Saccharomyces cerevisiae S288C: one gene and its partners. The protein of the gene in region 3 binds, or shares a complex with, the protein of the main gene of each other region. Each region holds a gene or a part of one and is shown on either strand. Other genes may lie near its edges. The genes, in order: TIM12, TIM54, TIM9 and TIM18. A codon is read from its position in the direction of its gene.

Evidence for each region.
Region 1: the proteins of TIM9 (region 3) and TIM12 are in contact, whole or in part, in a cryo-EM structure (PDB 6LO8), measured with the Saccharomyces cerevisiae proteins. Residues at the interface, in NP_010894.1 of Saccharomyces cerevisiae: Gln13 (codon at 828), Val16 (codon at 819), Lys19 (codon at 810), Gln20 (codon at 807), Lys22 (codon at 801), Asp23 (codon at 798), Phe24 (codon at 795), Met25 (codon at 792), Leu27 (codon at 786), Tyr28 (codon at 783), Ser29 (codon at 780), Leu31 (codon at 774), Val32 (codon at 771), Glu33 (codon at 768), Cys35 (codon at 762), Phe36 (codon at 759), Thr37 (codon at 756), Val40 (codon at 747), Asn41 (codon at 744), Asp42 (codon at 741), Phe43 (codon at 738), Thr44 (codon at 735), Thr45 (codon at 732), Ser46 (codon at 729), Lys47 (codon at 726), Leu48 (codon at 723), Glu52 (codon at 711), Gln53 (codon at 708), Ile56 (codon at 699), Met57 (codon at 696); in NP_009649.1 of Saccharomyces cerevisiae: Asp27 (codon at 2,337), Ala28 (codon at 2,340), Ser31 (codon at 2,349), Asn35 (codon at 2,361), Thr39 (codon at 2,373), Glu42 (codon at 2,382), Lys43 (codon at 2,385), Cys62 (codon at 2,442), Arg65 (codon at 2,451), Cys66 (codon at 2,454), Ala68 (codon at 2,460), Lys69 (codon at 2,463), Met70 (codon at 2,466), Tyr72 (codon at 2,472), Ser73 (codon at 2,475), Asn74 (codon at 2,478), Leu76 (codon at 2,484), Ile77 (codon at 2,487), Gly78 (codon at 2,490), Phe80 (codon at 2,496), Val81 (codon at 2,499), Arg84 (codon at 2,508), Phe86 (codon at 2,514), Gly87 (codon at 2,517), Pro88 (codon at 2,520), Gln91 (codon at 2,529), Leu92 (codon at 2,532), Arg93 (codon at 2,535), His94 (codon at 2,538), Tyr95 (codon at 2,541).
Region 2: the proteins of TIM9 (region 3) and TIM54 are in contact, whole or in part, in a cryo-EM structure (PDB 6LO8), measured with the Saccharomyces cerevisiae proteins. Residues at the interface, in NP_010894.1 of Saccharomyces cerevisiae: Lys65 (codon at 672), Glu68 (codon at 663), Arg69 (codon at 660), Gln72 (codon at 651), Arg73 (codon at 648); in NP_012481.3 of Saccharomyces cerevisiae: Glu76 (codon at 2,671), Met78 (codon at 2,677), Glu79 (codon at 2,680), Val80 (codon at 2,683), Lys82 (codon at 2,689).
Region 4: the proteins of TIM9 (region 3) and TIM18 are in contact, whole or in part, in a cryo-EM structure (PDB 6LO8), measured with the Saccharomyces cerevisiae proteins. Residues at the interface, in NP_010894.1 of Saccharomyces cerevisiae: Asp42 (codon at 741), Thr44 (codon at 735), Thr45 (codon at 732), Ser46 (codon at 729), Lys47 (codon at 726), Leu48 (codon at 723), Thr49 (codon at 720), Asn50 (codon at 717), Lys51 (codon at 714); in NP_014940.4 of Saccharomyces cerevisiae: Val105 (codon at 1,301), Asn107 (codon at 1,295), Pro108 (codon at 1,292), Glu165 (codon at 1,121), Thr166 (codon at 1,118), Lys167 (codon at 1,115), Asn168 (codon at 1,112), Asn169 (codon at 1,109), Lys177 (codon at 1,085).

What each region holds. Positions count from the first base shown.
Region 1 is NC_001134.8:426,581-429,742, reverse strand, and holds TIM12 (Tim12p), read left to right. Parts: upstream 1-2,258; coding exon 2,259-2,588; downstream 2,589-3,162. Other genes in the region: acid phosphatase PHO5, read left to right, coding at 1-195; acid phosphatase PHO3, read left to right, coding at 642-2,045; YBR090C (uncharacterized protein), read left to right, coding at 2,685-2,869. UniProt on the Saccharomyces cerevisiae protein: Essential component of the TIM22 complex, a complex that mediates the import and insertion of multi-pass transmembrane proteins into the mitochondrial inner membrane.
Region 2 is NC_001142.9:331,820-336,201, forward strand, and holds TIM54 (Tim22-complex subunit TIM54), read left to right. Parts: upstream 1-2,445; coding exon 2,446-3,882; downstream 3,883-4,382. Other genes in the region: ZAP1 (Zap1p), read right to left, coding at 1-1,254; LOG1 (Log1p), read left to right, coding at 1,538-2,275; retromer subunit PEP8, read left to right, coding at 4,079-4,382. UniProt on the Saccharomyces cerevisiae protein: Essential component of the TIM22 complex, a complex that mediates the import and insertion of multi-pass transmembrane proteins into the mitochondrial inner membrane.
Region 3 is NC_001137.3:115,046-118,074, reverse strand, and holds TIM9 (protein transporter TIM9), read right to left. Parts: upstream 865-3,029; coding exon 601-864; downstream 1-600. Other genes in the region: URA3 (orotidine-5'-phosphate decarboxylase), read right to left, coding at 1,105-1,908; Arf family guanine nucleotide exchange factor GEA2, read right to left, coding at 2,275-3,029. UniProt on the Saccharomyces cerevisiae protein: Mitochondrial intermembrane chaperone that participates in the import and insertion of multi-pass transmembrane proteins into the mitochondrial inner membrane.
Region 4 is NC_001147.6:873,709-876,934, forward strand, and holds TIM18 (Tim18p), read right to left. Parts: upstream 1,614-3,226; coding exon 1,035-1,613; downstream 1-1,034. Other genes in the region: YOR296W (uncharacterized protein), read left to right, coding at 1-363; MUM3 (Mum3p), read left to right, coding at 1,891-3,226. UniProt on the Saccharomyces cerevisiae protein: Component of the TIM22 complex, a complex that mediates the import and insertion of multi-pass transmembrane proteins into the mitochondrial inner membrane.

The DNA of each region.
Region 1 (3,162 bases), on a different chromosome or scaffold from region 3:
CCAATTGAAACCTGTTCCACTGGTCCAGGGTTCTCTTGTGAAATCAATGACTTCTACGACTATGCTGAAAAGAGAGTAGCCGGTACTGACTTCCTAAAGGTCTGTAACGTCAGCAGCGTCAGTAACTCTACTGAATTGACCTTCTACTGGGACTGGAACACTACTCATTACAACGCCAGTCTATTGAGACAATAGTTTTGTATAACTAAATAATATTGGAAACTAAATACGAATACCCAAATTTTTTATCTAAATTTTGCCGAAAGATTAAAATCTGCAGAGATATCCGAAACAGGTAAATGGATGTTTCAATCCCTGTAGTCAGTCAGGAACCCATATTATATTACAGTATTAGTCGCCGCTTAGGCACGCCTTTAATTAGCAAAATCAAACCTTAAGTGCATATGCCGTATAAGGGAAACTCAAAGAACTGGCATCGCAAAAATGAAAAAAAGGAAGAGTGAAAAAAAAAAAATTCAAAAGAAATTTACTAAATAATACCAGTTTGGGAAATAGTAAACAGCTTTGAGTAGTCCTATGCAACATATATAAGTGCTTAAATTTGCTGGATGGAAGTCAATTATGCCTTGATTATCATAAAAAAAATACTACAGTAAAGAAAGGGCCATTCCAAATTACCTATGTTTAAGTCTGTTGTTTATTCGGTTCTAGCCGCTGCTTTAGTTAATGCAGGTACAATTCCCCTCGGAGAGTTAGCCGATGTTGCCAAAATTGGCACTCAGGAAGACATATTCCCATTCCTGGGTGGTGCCGGGCCATACTTCTCTTTCCCTGGCGACTATGGTATTTCTCGTGACTTGCCTGAAGGTTGTGAAATGAAACAATTGCAAATGCTTGCCAGACATGGTGAAAGATACCCAACTTACAGTAAAGGTGCTACCATCATGAAAACATGGTATAAGTTGAGCAATTACACACGTCAATTCAACGGCTCATTGTCATTCTTGAACGATGATTACGAGTTTTTCATCCGTGATGACGATGATTTGGAAATGGAAACCACTTTTGCCAACTCAGACAATGTTTTGAATCCATACACTGGTGAGATGGATGCTAAGAGACATGCTCGTGAGTTTTTAGCGCAATATGGCTACATGTTCGAAAATCAAACCAGTTTCCCAATTTTCGCCGCTAGTTCTGAAAGGGTTCATGACACTGCTCAATATTTCATTGATGGTTTAGGTGACCAATTCAACATCTCCTTGCAGACTGTCAGTGAAGCCATGTCCGCCGGCGCAAACACTTTGAGTGCTGGTAATGCGTGCCCAGGATGGGATGAAGATGCTAACGATGACATTTTGGACAAATACGATACCACATACTTGGATGACATTGCCAAGAGATTAAACAAAGAAAACAAGGGTTTGAATTTGACCTCAAAGGACGCCAACACTTTGTTTGCATGGTGTGCATACGAATTGAACGCTAGAGGCTACAGTGATGTTTGTGATATCTTCACCGAAGATGAATTGGTACGTTACTCATACGGCCAGGACCTGGTATCGTTTTACCAGGATGGACCAGGTTATGATATGATCAGATCCGTCGGTGCCAACTTGTTTAACGCTACTTTGAAGTTGTTAAAGCAAAGTGAAACTCAAGACTTAAAAGTCTGGTTGAGTTTTACCCACGATACCGATATCCTAAACTATTTGACCACCGCTGGTATAATTGACGACAAAAACAACTTAACTGCCGAATACGTTCCATTCATGGGCAACACCTTCCATAAGTCCTGGTACGTTCCTCAAGGTGCTCGTGTCTACACCGAAAAATTCCAATGTTCTAACGACACCTACGTCAGATACGTCATTAACGATGCTGTCGTTCCAATTGAAACCTGTTCCACCGGCCCAGGGTTCTCTTGTGAAATCAATGATTTCTACGACTATGCTGAAAAGAGAGTAGCTGGTACTGACTTCCTAAAGGTCTGTAACGTCAGCAGTGTCAGTAACGTCACCGAATTGACCTTCTACTGGGACTGGAATACTACTCACTACAACGATACCCTATTAAAACAATAAATTGTATAAATAAATAATATTGCAAATATAAATAAATACCCATCGATTCTGATCTTCTTTTATGTACTAGTAGGGTAACGAGTTTGTAGATTAGCGGCAGAATGAAAAGAAAAAAGTTAACTAAAAAGTAAGAACAGCAAAGTTGATTGTAGTCTATATTGCTGAAATAGATATCGGAGCTCCCGTATAATATTAAAGTGCACCAAGAAAAGGATGTCGTTCTTTTTAAATAGTCTAAGGGGCAACCAGGAGGTCTCGCAAGAGAAGCTAGACGTTGCAGGAGTGCAATTCGATGCGATGTGCTCGACTTTCAACAATATTCTCAGTACGTGTCTTGAGAAATGTATTCCGCATGAGGGCTTTGGTGAGCCTGATCTAACGAAAGGTGAGCAATGCTGCATAGACAGATGTGTGGCAAAGATGCATTACAGCAATCGCCTCATTGGAGGATTTGTACAAACACGAGGTTTCGGGCCAGAGAATCAGCTACGACATTATTCGCGATTTGTGGCCAAAGAAATAGCTGATGATTCCAAAAAATAGCTGTAAATATGAGGACTGTCTGTGCTGTTTGTATATAATAGTAACCTGCATATATAGCATTATAAGCTGTGTAGACAATTTTAGAAGTACATTTATATGGTACCCGCACCTGGGTCACGTGCATTCCCCTCACCCGTTTTTTTAGGTGGTGTCTTTTTTGTTTTTTTTTTTAGGTGGCGCGGCAACTATAAAGTACAGCAAGTGAGGTTGAGGCAATACTGGGAGTTTACACTATGGGAGACAGCTCCTAACACCAAGCAGAAAAACGACTTTTTCGCAAAGTATGTAAGGCGCTGGGTGAGCCCAGCGGACGAGGATGGGCTTAATAAGAACGTACAGTTTAGCACAGCTAGAACAGGATACAGCTAAGGGCAACTCTGCTTTTCGGGAGAAGTTAAAGAGGGGTAGACAATGATGGTAATCTTATAAACCGGCTACAATGAAGGTTGTAGCAGCAAGGAAGATGATATTTTAATACGGTTCAGGTGAAATGAAATAGCCGCCCATAACGGCATGCTCAAGTTGTAAGTCAGGACTCTAGCTTTCTACTGTAGTATCCTCTAAAGGACTGCTG
Region 2 (4,382 bases), on a different chromosome or scaffold from region 3:
TGTGCTCGAACCATCGCAGCCGTTACCGGCATTATTGTGGTCGTGGTGGTTAATGTGTTTTCCAAACGGTACTTCATACAAAGAAGAAATATTGCATAAATCTTCCAAAATCTTCAAATCCATATCAGTATTTAAGATATGTTCGTGATAAGCATGATTTGTACCTTGCAAAGTGTTTGTAGGTTTTCGTAAAGATGAACATTTGGGTGGTAGTTGAGGTGGCTTTGACTCTAAATGCATATGCTTAGAACAAGGTTGATTATCAGTGCTCTCCTCACAAAATTTGCAGTATTTATGGAAAACGTCATCATTATTTGATGATTGATGATCTTGAACAAACTTGTGACCACTAGTCGCGCTCGTGCTAGCCGTGCATGGGGTGTCACAGGTCAAATCGCAATCAATCTCCGATAAGTGAGACATCAGCTGAGAAAAGCTATCTGGTACAGTATTATTGTGATTGTGAGAGTCGTGATTGGTACTATTACAGTACTGATCATGAAGGTTAAAATTTGGCATCAAGTGATCGTTCTTTACATCTGTGAATATTGCAACATCATTGCCGTTCTCAGATATGTCTTTCTTTGTCGGTTGATCAGATTCACCTTGTTTTATATTAGCCTCACTTTTGGGATGAGTTTCGTCACAACATATTTCCAAAATCTTGGGCGTACAATAACAATCATCGGATCCAGGTGGTGGGTTCGGTTTATTTTTCTTGGAAGAGGGCAGCAGTATCAGATCGTCGTTAAACCAAGAATCTTTTCTACGTGGTAGGTCGCTTTTAGAATTCTGTTGGGGACTTGTCGGATCAGAAGCTACCGAATGGAAATTGTTTGCAAAAGAATGATTATTAGAATTATACGTTGCAGTATCATTATATTTTGTTAATGACGGATTATTGTGATAATTCAAGAACTCGAAATGTTGGCAGTCGGTGTACTCCTTGCATTTCTCATTGACGTGGCAATCACCACCCATATCATGGCTAGCTCCAGATGCAAATGCGGAAGTAGCGGCATCAGCAACAGCTGCGGCTGCAGGTGTTGCCGAAGCACTACTGTCGTTCACAGGCGCGCTGTGGTGAAGGTGACCATGGATATAGGTCAGGTTGTTGTAGTTATGGATGTGCCCGTGGACAATGCCTTCTTTACCTATCGTCAGAGCATCAGGCTTGGCAGAAGCAGCAGTGGCCGCACTCGTGGCCATCGAGTCATCGCGCTTGGGGGAGTCCCTGGGAGTCAACGCATCCATTAGTTCCTATCCTTCTTCTATTTAAAAAACCGTAACACATAAAAAGTAAAAGTGTAATGCTTCCGTCTCGCCGCTGGCCTATATTCACAGTGACTGCAGTTGCATCTTATATTGCCAAGCACGTTTCATCATGACCTTTAGGGTAGATGACTGCTGTCAACTACTCCGTCTGCAGTGATATATAATCATGTTTTGGGCGTTTAAGGAAGGAGAATTATTTCCAACAGTTGAATAGGAAGATCCCTAGAGTAAATCGCAGGCAATCCAGTACTAAGAAACGGCGATGACAATGGAAAAAAATGGAGGTAATAGCAGCCGTGGTGGCCAAGTAGGCGGCAAGTCTGTGTGTGTTTACTGCGGGTCTTCATTTGGCGCTAAGGCGCTATACTCAGAAAGTGCAGAAGAATTAGGAGCCCTTTTCCATAAGCTGGGATGGAAATTGGTATACGGTGGAGGCACTACTGGTTTGATGGGCAAGATAGCAAGGTCTACGATGGGACCTGATTTAAGCGGACAGGTTCACGGTATCATTCCAAATGCACTTGTGTCTAAGGAAAGGACAGACGAGGATAAAGAAGATGTTAATAAAGCATTGTTGGAGTCTGTAGAAAATCATAAGGGCGCCACTCCTATTTCTGAAGAGTATGGGGAAACAACGATTGTACCAGATATGCATACGAGAAAAAGAATGATGGCAAATTTGAGTGACGCGTTTGTTGCTATGCCTGGTGGATACGGGACTTTTGAAGAAATCATGGAATGTATCACGTGGTCGCAACTGGGGATTCATAATAAACCAATTATCTTGTTCAATATCGATGGGTTCTATGACAAATTATTGGAGTTCCTCAAACACTCTATTCAAGAACGGTTCATCAGTGTGAAGAATGGTGAAATCATTCAAGTTGCCTCCACTCCGCAGGAAGTTGTTGATAAAATAGAGAAGTACGTCGTTCCAGAGGGCCGTTTCAATTTGAATTGGAGCGACGAAGGTCACGCTCACGAGGATTGTGCTAAATAATAGAAACGTAAGTCATGTATCTAGTTTAAACGATCTGTATAGATAATGTGGTGAAAAATCCAAATTTTTAGGAGCTGTCTTTCTAAGCCCGAAGGCTGGAAAAAATAGTACTGATGGCAAAGACATCATAGCTTTAAAGTCCATTGTTCTCAAAAGAAGCTCAATAGACCATGTCTTCTGAATCAGGAAAGCCTATTGCTAAGCCTATTAGGAAGCCTGGCTATACCAATCCGGCTTTAAAAGCCCTTGGTATACCCGCCTTGAGGCTGCCTTCTCGAAACTGGATGATCTTTTGGTCTGTGTTAACAGTATCCATCGGTGGCATAGCCTATGACAAATACAAGCAACGTCAGATTCTGAGCCATGCAACAGACTTGGTGAAGCCTTTGGCAGAGGAGTCCATGGAGGTAGACAAAGTGCCACGAAAGATCACTGTTTTTATTGCACCTCCTCCAAATGATTATCTGGAGAGTTCGTTGAAAGTTTGGAGACGATATGTTAAGCCTGTACTGTATTATGCAGGGTTGGACTATGAATTAGTTCAAGAGGATAGGCAAGGGATTATTAGAACTAATGTAGCCAACAGAATCAGAGAATTGAGAAAGGAAATATTGGCATCGACGGATGGGCAGCCAGTTAAAGAGCCTAACCAAACGGTAGCAAAACCAAGTGGTTCTTCAACCAGTAAAATTTCATCACTACTACCGTTCAATAAAATCATTCAAGATCCTGCTGAAGAAGATGACTCGTTTGATCCAGAAATCGGTAAAAAGTTCAAGGAGAACTTCGACTGGAGAAACGTTATAGGTATCTTCTATACAATGCCAAAACCGAAGCATATAATAAGTGAAGACGCCCTGACAAAGGACCCTATATTATCTGGTGGTGTTATTTGTTTAGGTAGAGGCGCCTATAAGGAGTACATTGCCGGTATTCACGAAGGCTTGCTTGGACCCATCGAGAAGACCGAAAAAACAGGATCCACTGAGCCTAAGATGACTGGGGTTGTAGAAGCAAATCAAATAGAATCAAAGGTAAGTGAATCCGGTGCTACGGAACTGGTGGATGCCGAGAAAGAGACTGCTTTGGAAGAGGCCAAAGTACAAGATGATCTAAAGGTTGATGAAGAAAACAGCTCAGAGGATTCGCAAAAATTTTTGAAGCCATTTATTTCTTCAGACCAATACCCTGACCTGCAAATCGCTTCGGAATTACAAACTCCAAATGGCGAATTCATAAGAAACCCCAATACAAATATCCCGCTTCTGATTAATCAGCCGTTATTGGTCATTCCAATACCTAACTTGATAGGTTTTACTACCATTCCAAGGAGAATACATCGTTTTTACCAGAAGCGTTTCTACGTAGAGGACGTGTGTTCAAGTGTAGTTAACTGTGTTCGACAAACCCGTATAAGACCGTTTGATATTGCAAAGGATATTGATTTGGCGAAGGACGAAGAAAAAGATTGGCCACAGAACTGGGTCAAACAGGGTAAAGAAAAGAACAGCGAATGGACCCAAGAATTAGTATGTGATCCTAGAATCACGAAGCATATGTTTGTTTACGAAAAACCACCCAAGGAAGAGCCAGAATCAGATATTTAATTGGATATATATTATGTTTTATCATCATGCACGATCGACGTTATGTCTGACATATACCAAACCCTTTTCGAAGATTTCCCTTTACTCATGTTGAAATAGTTTTTATATATGCACACATATACATATATATAAAATCTGTAAATATAATAAAATGTGTACATTGTAAAAGAATCCAAGCACAACTATTATTAGCATTATGAGTATTTTTTTCAAGCCGCCGATTGATATTGAGATCCTTTTCGATAATGAGGAATCTCGCAAACACGTAGACATTGCAACAAGATCAAGTAATTCCAGTTACAAATCAATGAAGGAAAGCTTGCCCGTCTATGAAGATGGCGAATCCCTTGGTGGAATTGTTACTTTGAGAGTTCGGGATAGTAAAAAGGTAGACCACTTGGGCATAAAAGTGTCCGTTATTGGATCCATTGATATGTTAAAATCTCATGGGAGCGGTAATTCATCTTCTAAAAAAGTTACCTCTAGCACATCATCTTCCT
Region 3 (3,029 bases):
TCGCGGCTGGGAACGAAACTCTGGGAGCTGCGATTGGCAGTGGAACAGTGGTAATTCCTACGATTAAGAAACCTGTTTACAGAAGGATCCCCACCTATGGGCGGGTTATCAGATATTATCAGGTGGGAAATTCGGTGGAACACAGTGGAGCCTTGTCCTCCGGGTTAATGTCGCTTTTGGCATTGGCCCCTGCTCCTGAGAGAAGAAATATACTGGGGAACCAGTCTTTACCGACCGTTGTTATCAGAAATTCACGGAGTTCGGCCTAGGTCGGACTCCGATGGGAACGGCAACGGTTGTTCCGTTTGACTTGTCGCCCGCTACGGCGTGAGCGTCAAGGTCTGTTGAGTGCAATCGTAGGACGTCATTAGTGGCGAACCCGATACCGATTACTGCTGCTGTTCCAGCCCATATCCAACTTCCAATTTAATCTTTCTTTTTTAATTTTCACTTATTTGCGATACAGAAAGAAAAAAGCGATAGTAACTATTGAATTTTGTTTGGATTTGGTTAGATTAGATATGGTTTCTCTTTATATTTACATGCTAAAAATGGGCTACACCAGAGATACATAATTAGATATATATACGCCAGTACACCTTATCGGCCCAAGCCTTGTCCCAAGGCAGCGTTTTGTTCTTGGAAACGCTGCCCTACACGTTCGCTATGCTTCAAGAACTTTTCTGAGCACTTCATGATGCATGTTTGTTCCTTATTGGTTAGCTTTGATGTTGTGAAGTCATTGACACAGTCTGTGAAACATCTTTCTACCAGATTAGAGTACAAACGCATGAAATCCTTCATTTGCTTTTGTTCCACTACTTTTTGGAACTCTTGTTGTTCTTTGGAGTTCAATGCGTCCATCTTTACAGTCCTGTCTTATTGTTCTTGATTTGTGCCCCGTAAAATACTGTTACTTGGTTCTGGCGAGGTATTGGATAGTTCCTTTTTATAAAGGCCATGAAGCTTTTTCTTTCCAATTTTTTTTTTTTCGTCATTATAGAAATCATTACGACCGAGATTCCCGGGTAATAACTGATATAATTAAATTGAAGCTCTAATTTGTGAGTTTAGTATACATGCATTTACTTATAATACAGTTTTTTAGTTTTGCTGGCCGCATCTTCTCAAATATGCTTCCCAGCCTGCTTTTCTGTAACGTTCACCCTCTACCTTAGCATCCCTTCCCTTTGCAAATAGTCCTCTTCCAACAATAATAATGTCAGATCCTGTAGAGACCACATCATCCACGGTTCTATACTGTTGACCCAATGCGTCTCCCTTGTCATCTAAACCCACACCGGGTGTCATAATCAACCAATCGTAACCTTCATCTCTTCCACCCATGTCTCTTTGAGCAATAAAGCCGATAACAAAATCTTTGTCGCTCTTCGCAATGTCAACAGTACCCTTAGTATATTCTCCAGTAGCTAGGGAGCCCTTGCATGACAATTCTGCTAACATCAAAAGGCCTCTAGGTTCCTTTGTTACTTCTTCCGCCGCCTGCTTCAAACCGCTAACAATACCTGGGCCCACCACACCGTGTGCATTCGTAATGTCTGCCCATTCTGCTATTCTGTATACACCCGCAGAGTACTGCAATTTGACTGTATTACCAATGTCAGCAAATTTTCTGTCTTCGAAGAGTAAAAAATTGTACTTGGCGGATAATGCCTTTAGCGGCTTAACTGTGCCCTCCATGGAAAAATCAGTCAAGATATCCACATGTGTTTTTAGTAAACAAATTTTGGGACCTAATGCTTCAACTAACTCCAGTAATTCCTTGGTGGTACGAACATCCAATGAAGCACACAAGTTTGTTTGCTTTTCGTGCATGATATTAAATAGCTTGGCAGCAACAGGACTAGGATGAGTAGCAGCACGTTCCTTATATGTAGCTTTCGACATGATTTATCTTCGTTTCCTGCAGGTTTTTGTTCTGTGCAGTTGGGTTAAGAATACTGGGCAATTTCATGTTTCTTCAACACCACATATGCGTATATATACCAATCTAAGTCTGTGCTCCTTCCTTCGTTCTTCCTTCTGCTCGGAGATTACCGAATCAAAAAAATTTCAAAGAAACCGGAATCAAAAAAAAGAACAAAAAAAAAAAAGATGAATTGAAAAGCTTTATGGACCCTGAAACCACAGCCACATTAACCTTCTTTGATGGTCAAAACTTATCCTTCACCATAAATATGCCTCGCAAAAAAGGTAATTAACATATATAGAATTACATTATTTATGAAATATCATCACTATCTCTTAGCATCTTTAATCCTTTTCTACATCAGATAACTTCGGTTTGTTATCATCGTCTGTATTGTCATCAATTGGCGCAGTAGCCTCAATTTCAACGTCGTTTGACTCTGGTGTTTGTTCATGTGCAGATCCATGAGATGATGAACCGTTGCCCTTCTCAATACTCTTCTTATCAAGTATTAATTGCTGTAGCTTTTTTTCAATATCTGAGTCCTCTACAAATTTATTGAAAATACTCAAAATTTTCAAAAACGTTTCGTTGCTTGTCTTCCCTAGTTTCAAATAATGCAAATAAACATTTGAAATTATTGTTAATATGGATGAAATGAGGATTTTCTGGTCTTCCTGTGTTTCACTCGAATTTAGCAACGGTAGTAATCCGCCCTCAATTAATTCTTCTACCGATTCCATCTCATTAGTTGGAATTTCGATTTTATTGATGAGCGTCTGCTCTAGCGTTACCACTGCAAATTCACTTATCTGCTTACACGGATTGATGCATTGATGTGCCAAAGCTTGAATAATAGCGAATATCTCGTTTTTACGCAGATCGTTATTATCTTCCAGCAAGTGTGATGTTAGTTGAATGGATTTCAATGATAATTCGATCGATTTCTTGTATGGATTCTCCTTATCAATTTTATGACCACTTTCTGTCAATTTCTTGTATTCTATTTCCCAGTGATTTCCAACGGCACCCATTGATGAAATTTCATCTAATAGTCCTAGGACCCACATGAAGTTCTCATTTGTCAAAATATTGCTGT
Region 4 (3,226 bases), on a different chromosome or scaffold from region 3:
CCAGCTTTTTATGATAAAAGTGTCTCCGAATTGAAGGATGAAGTTCAGCGATTGATTCCCCTATATGAAGAGTATTTGAGATGGTTTTATCTGAAGAAAACTCCGATTACTTTTACGAATAAATCCGCTGGAACAATATCTCGAAAAAAGTCGCTAGTAGCTAACATTGTAAAAGAGCCTAAGGAACAACTGGAACGTGATGCAGAAGTAATGAATATTATATTGAGAATATTGATCGCGAAAGGCCAACATGATTACGTTCATCGAATTTTACATGACAGAAAAGAACTTGTTAATACTATGAAAAATAGAAGAGCGGTGAGTAGAGCGGTCACTCCTACAGGAAAAAAGGGCAGAAACTGAAGTCTCTTTTATATATATACATGGGGTGCTGACTAAACAGTTCCACCCTATATTTGAGCGTCGATAAAAAATGAATGAACGTGTATCATCGTTTATTATAAGAATCATAGTTTTATGGACAAGTTTTCCGTTTAGCATTTATACCCATATAGTAAAAAGTTTCGCAGATAGTGCGATAGTTGTATTCTGATTGCCTTATTATTATTTCACTAATTCTTTATTCACGTAGAGCATGACACTTTTTTTATGTGTTTCCTTTTGATTGTGAAATAAAGGCGAATCCTAACAAATATTAAAATGTTTCAATACATTGATAAAAATTGTAAACATTATTTTTTTGTAGTATAAAAATTCGTTCCTCATCATTAAAGAAACAAAAAGCATACAGATAATAATAAAAAAGGCACTTTAGACAGAATGAGAATACTAGCAATCACGAATTCCTACTTTTCCTTTCTGTATCCCTAGGCGTTTCACTCGACAAGAATTGATCGTCTTGTACCAATCCAAGCAGATCGATATATACATATATATCTGGATTTCGAGAAGAAGGATATATTTTATTGCTTATTTGTCTTTTTATAAAATCTCTCCTAAGTTAAGTTCATGGGGAATCTGACTCTAAAAATGAAATCTTAGAAATGCAAAAAAAAAGAAAAAGTATGGGTGAGTCAGTTTCTTCCAAATATATACAAATGGTCATCATTTTCATTCCAAAGTTTCTTTACCAGGTCAACAAAACCATTATTTTTCGTTTCCAATTCGTAGATACCGTACAGGGACAACATGGATCCTCCATAGAGGCAATAAAGGGCGAGCTTATGCCATCTTGGATACTTTTCCTTCGGTATATAGTCAATAATACAACTTGTGAAGCCATACTGTAAATATATCAAAAAAATGGACGATAAAGACGCATCGAGTAAAGGATTTATAACCCCGCCGGTAAAGGAGGCATAAAAAGGTACCATTGTTAATGGAATCAAAGTATATTTTGCTATTCTCTCATAGTCTTTTTGATAAGAGTCCTTAAATTGAGAGAACTCTGGGGGCTTAAACATCTGCACTGAAGAGGATGCCTCTTTTGACGTATTTGCAATATCGTTTATTTTATTTTCAGCATTTAAACGATTAATGCTATAAAAGGATCTTTTGGTTGAAAGTACTAATCCTGGAAAAACAGCTCGTACAGGATTTACAATGACAGTGGAAGCATTAAGAACAGGCTTCAAGCCAGGAAACAATAGCATTACCAAAGGTATTAAATTACTCAGTTGTTGCACCTCGCATCACCGTTAATTAATGTGTGCATTCCACTGTCTGGAAGTTTTCATTTTTATCCGATCTTTTGCGAGAATGGTTTGTTTTTCAAAAAAACCGAGTGTCAACAAGGCATGTAGCGACACAAAATGAAAAATTGAAAGTTAACAGGGCAAGATATGCACCATAATAGATTCATTGTTAATCTTAATCAAATAAAATTTCTCTTTTCCACACAGAAAACTAAACGAAAGGTATAACTTTAAGATGGGTTTTGTTGATTTCTTCGAAACATATATGGTCGGTTCTAGGGTCCAGTTCAAACAGTTAGATATTTCTGATTGGTTGAGTCTGACCCCAAGGTTGCTTATTCTTTTTGGCTATTTTTACCTTCATTCTTTTTTTACTGCAATCAATCAATTCCTACAGTTCATTAACACGAATTCCTTCTGTCTTAGACTGCATTTACTATATGACAGATTTTGGTCGCATGTGCCCATAATAGGTGAGTACAAAATTCGGCTGCTCTCGAGGGCACTGACATATAGTAAACTGAAAATAATACCAACTTTAGACAAGGTGCTGGAGGCGATTGAAATTTGGTTTCAGCTACATTTAGTTGAAATGACCTTCGAAAAAAAAAAAAACGTCCAAATTTTCATAACCGAGGGAAGTGATGACCTAAACTTTTTTAAAGATAGCAAATTCCAAACCACATTAATGATATGTAATCATCGATCAGTGAATGACTACACATTGATTAATTACCTTTTTCTCAAAAGTTGTCCCACCAAGTTTTATACTAAATGGGAATTTCTACAAAAGCTGAGGAAGGGGGAAGATCTAGCTGAATGGCCTCAGTTAAAATTTCTTGGTTGGGGAAAAATGTTTAACTTTCCTCGATTGGATCTACTAAAGAACATATTCTTCAAAGATGAAACACTCGCACTCTCATCGAATGAGTTAAGAGATATTTTAGAAAGACAAAACAATCAAGCTATTACTATTTTTCCCGAAGTCAATATCATGAGTTTGGAACTATCAATTATTCAAAGAAAATTACACCAAGATTTTCCCTTTGTTATAAACTTCTATAATTTATTATACCCAAGATTTAAAAACTTTACCACTTTGATGGCTGCTTTTTCATCAATTAAAAACATCAAAAGAAAGAAAAACCGTAACAATATAATCAAAGAGGCCCGATACCTGTTTCACAGAGAACTTGACAAATTAGTTCACAAGAGCATGAAAATGGAGTCTTCCAAGGTATCCGATAAGACGACGCCGCCCATGATCGTAGATAATTCATACTTACTTACAAAAAAGGAAGAAATCAGCAGCGGCAAGCCCAAGGTGGTACGAATCAATCCATACATATATGATGTCACCATAATTTATTACCGAGTCAAATATACTGATAGTGGGCATGATCATACCAACGGAGATTTGAGACTTCATAAAGGTTATCAATTAGAGCAAATATCTCCGACAATCTTTGAGATGATTCAACCAGAAATGGAGTCTGAAAACAACATAAAGGATAAGGACCCCATTGTTGTGATGGTAAATGTAAAAAAGCATCAAATTCAACCATTACTCG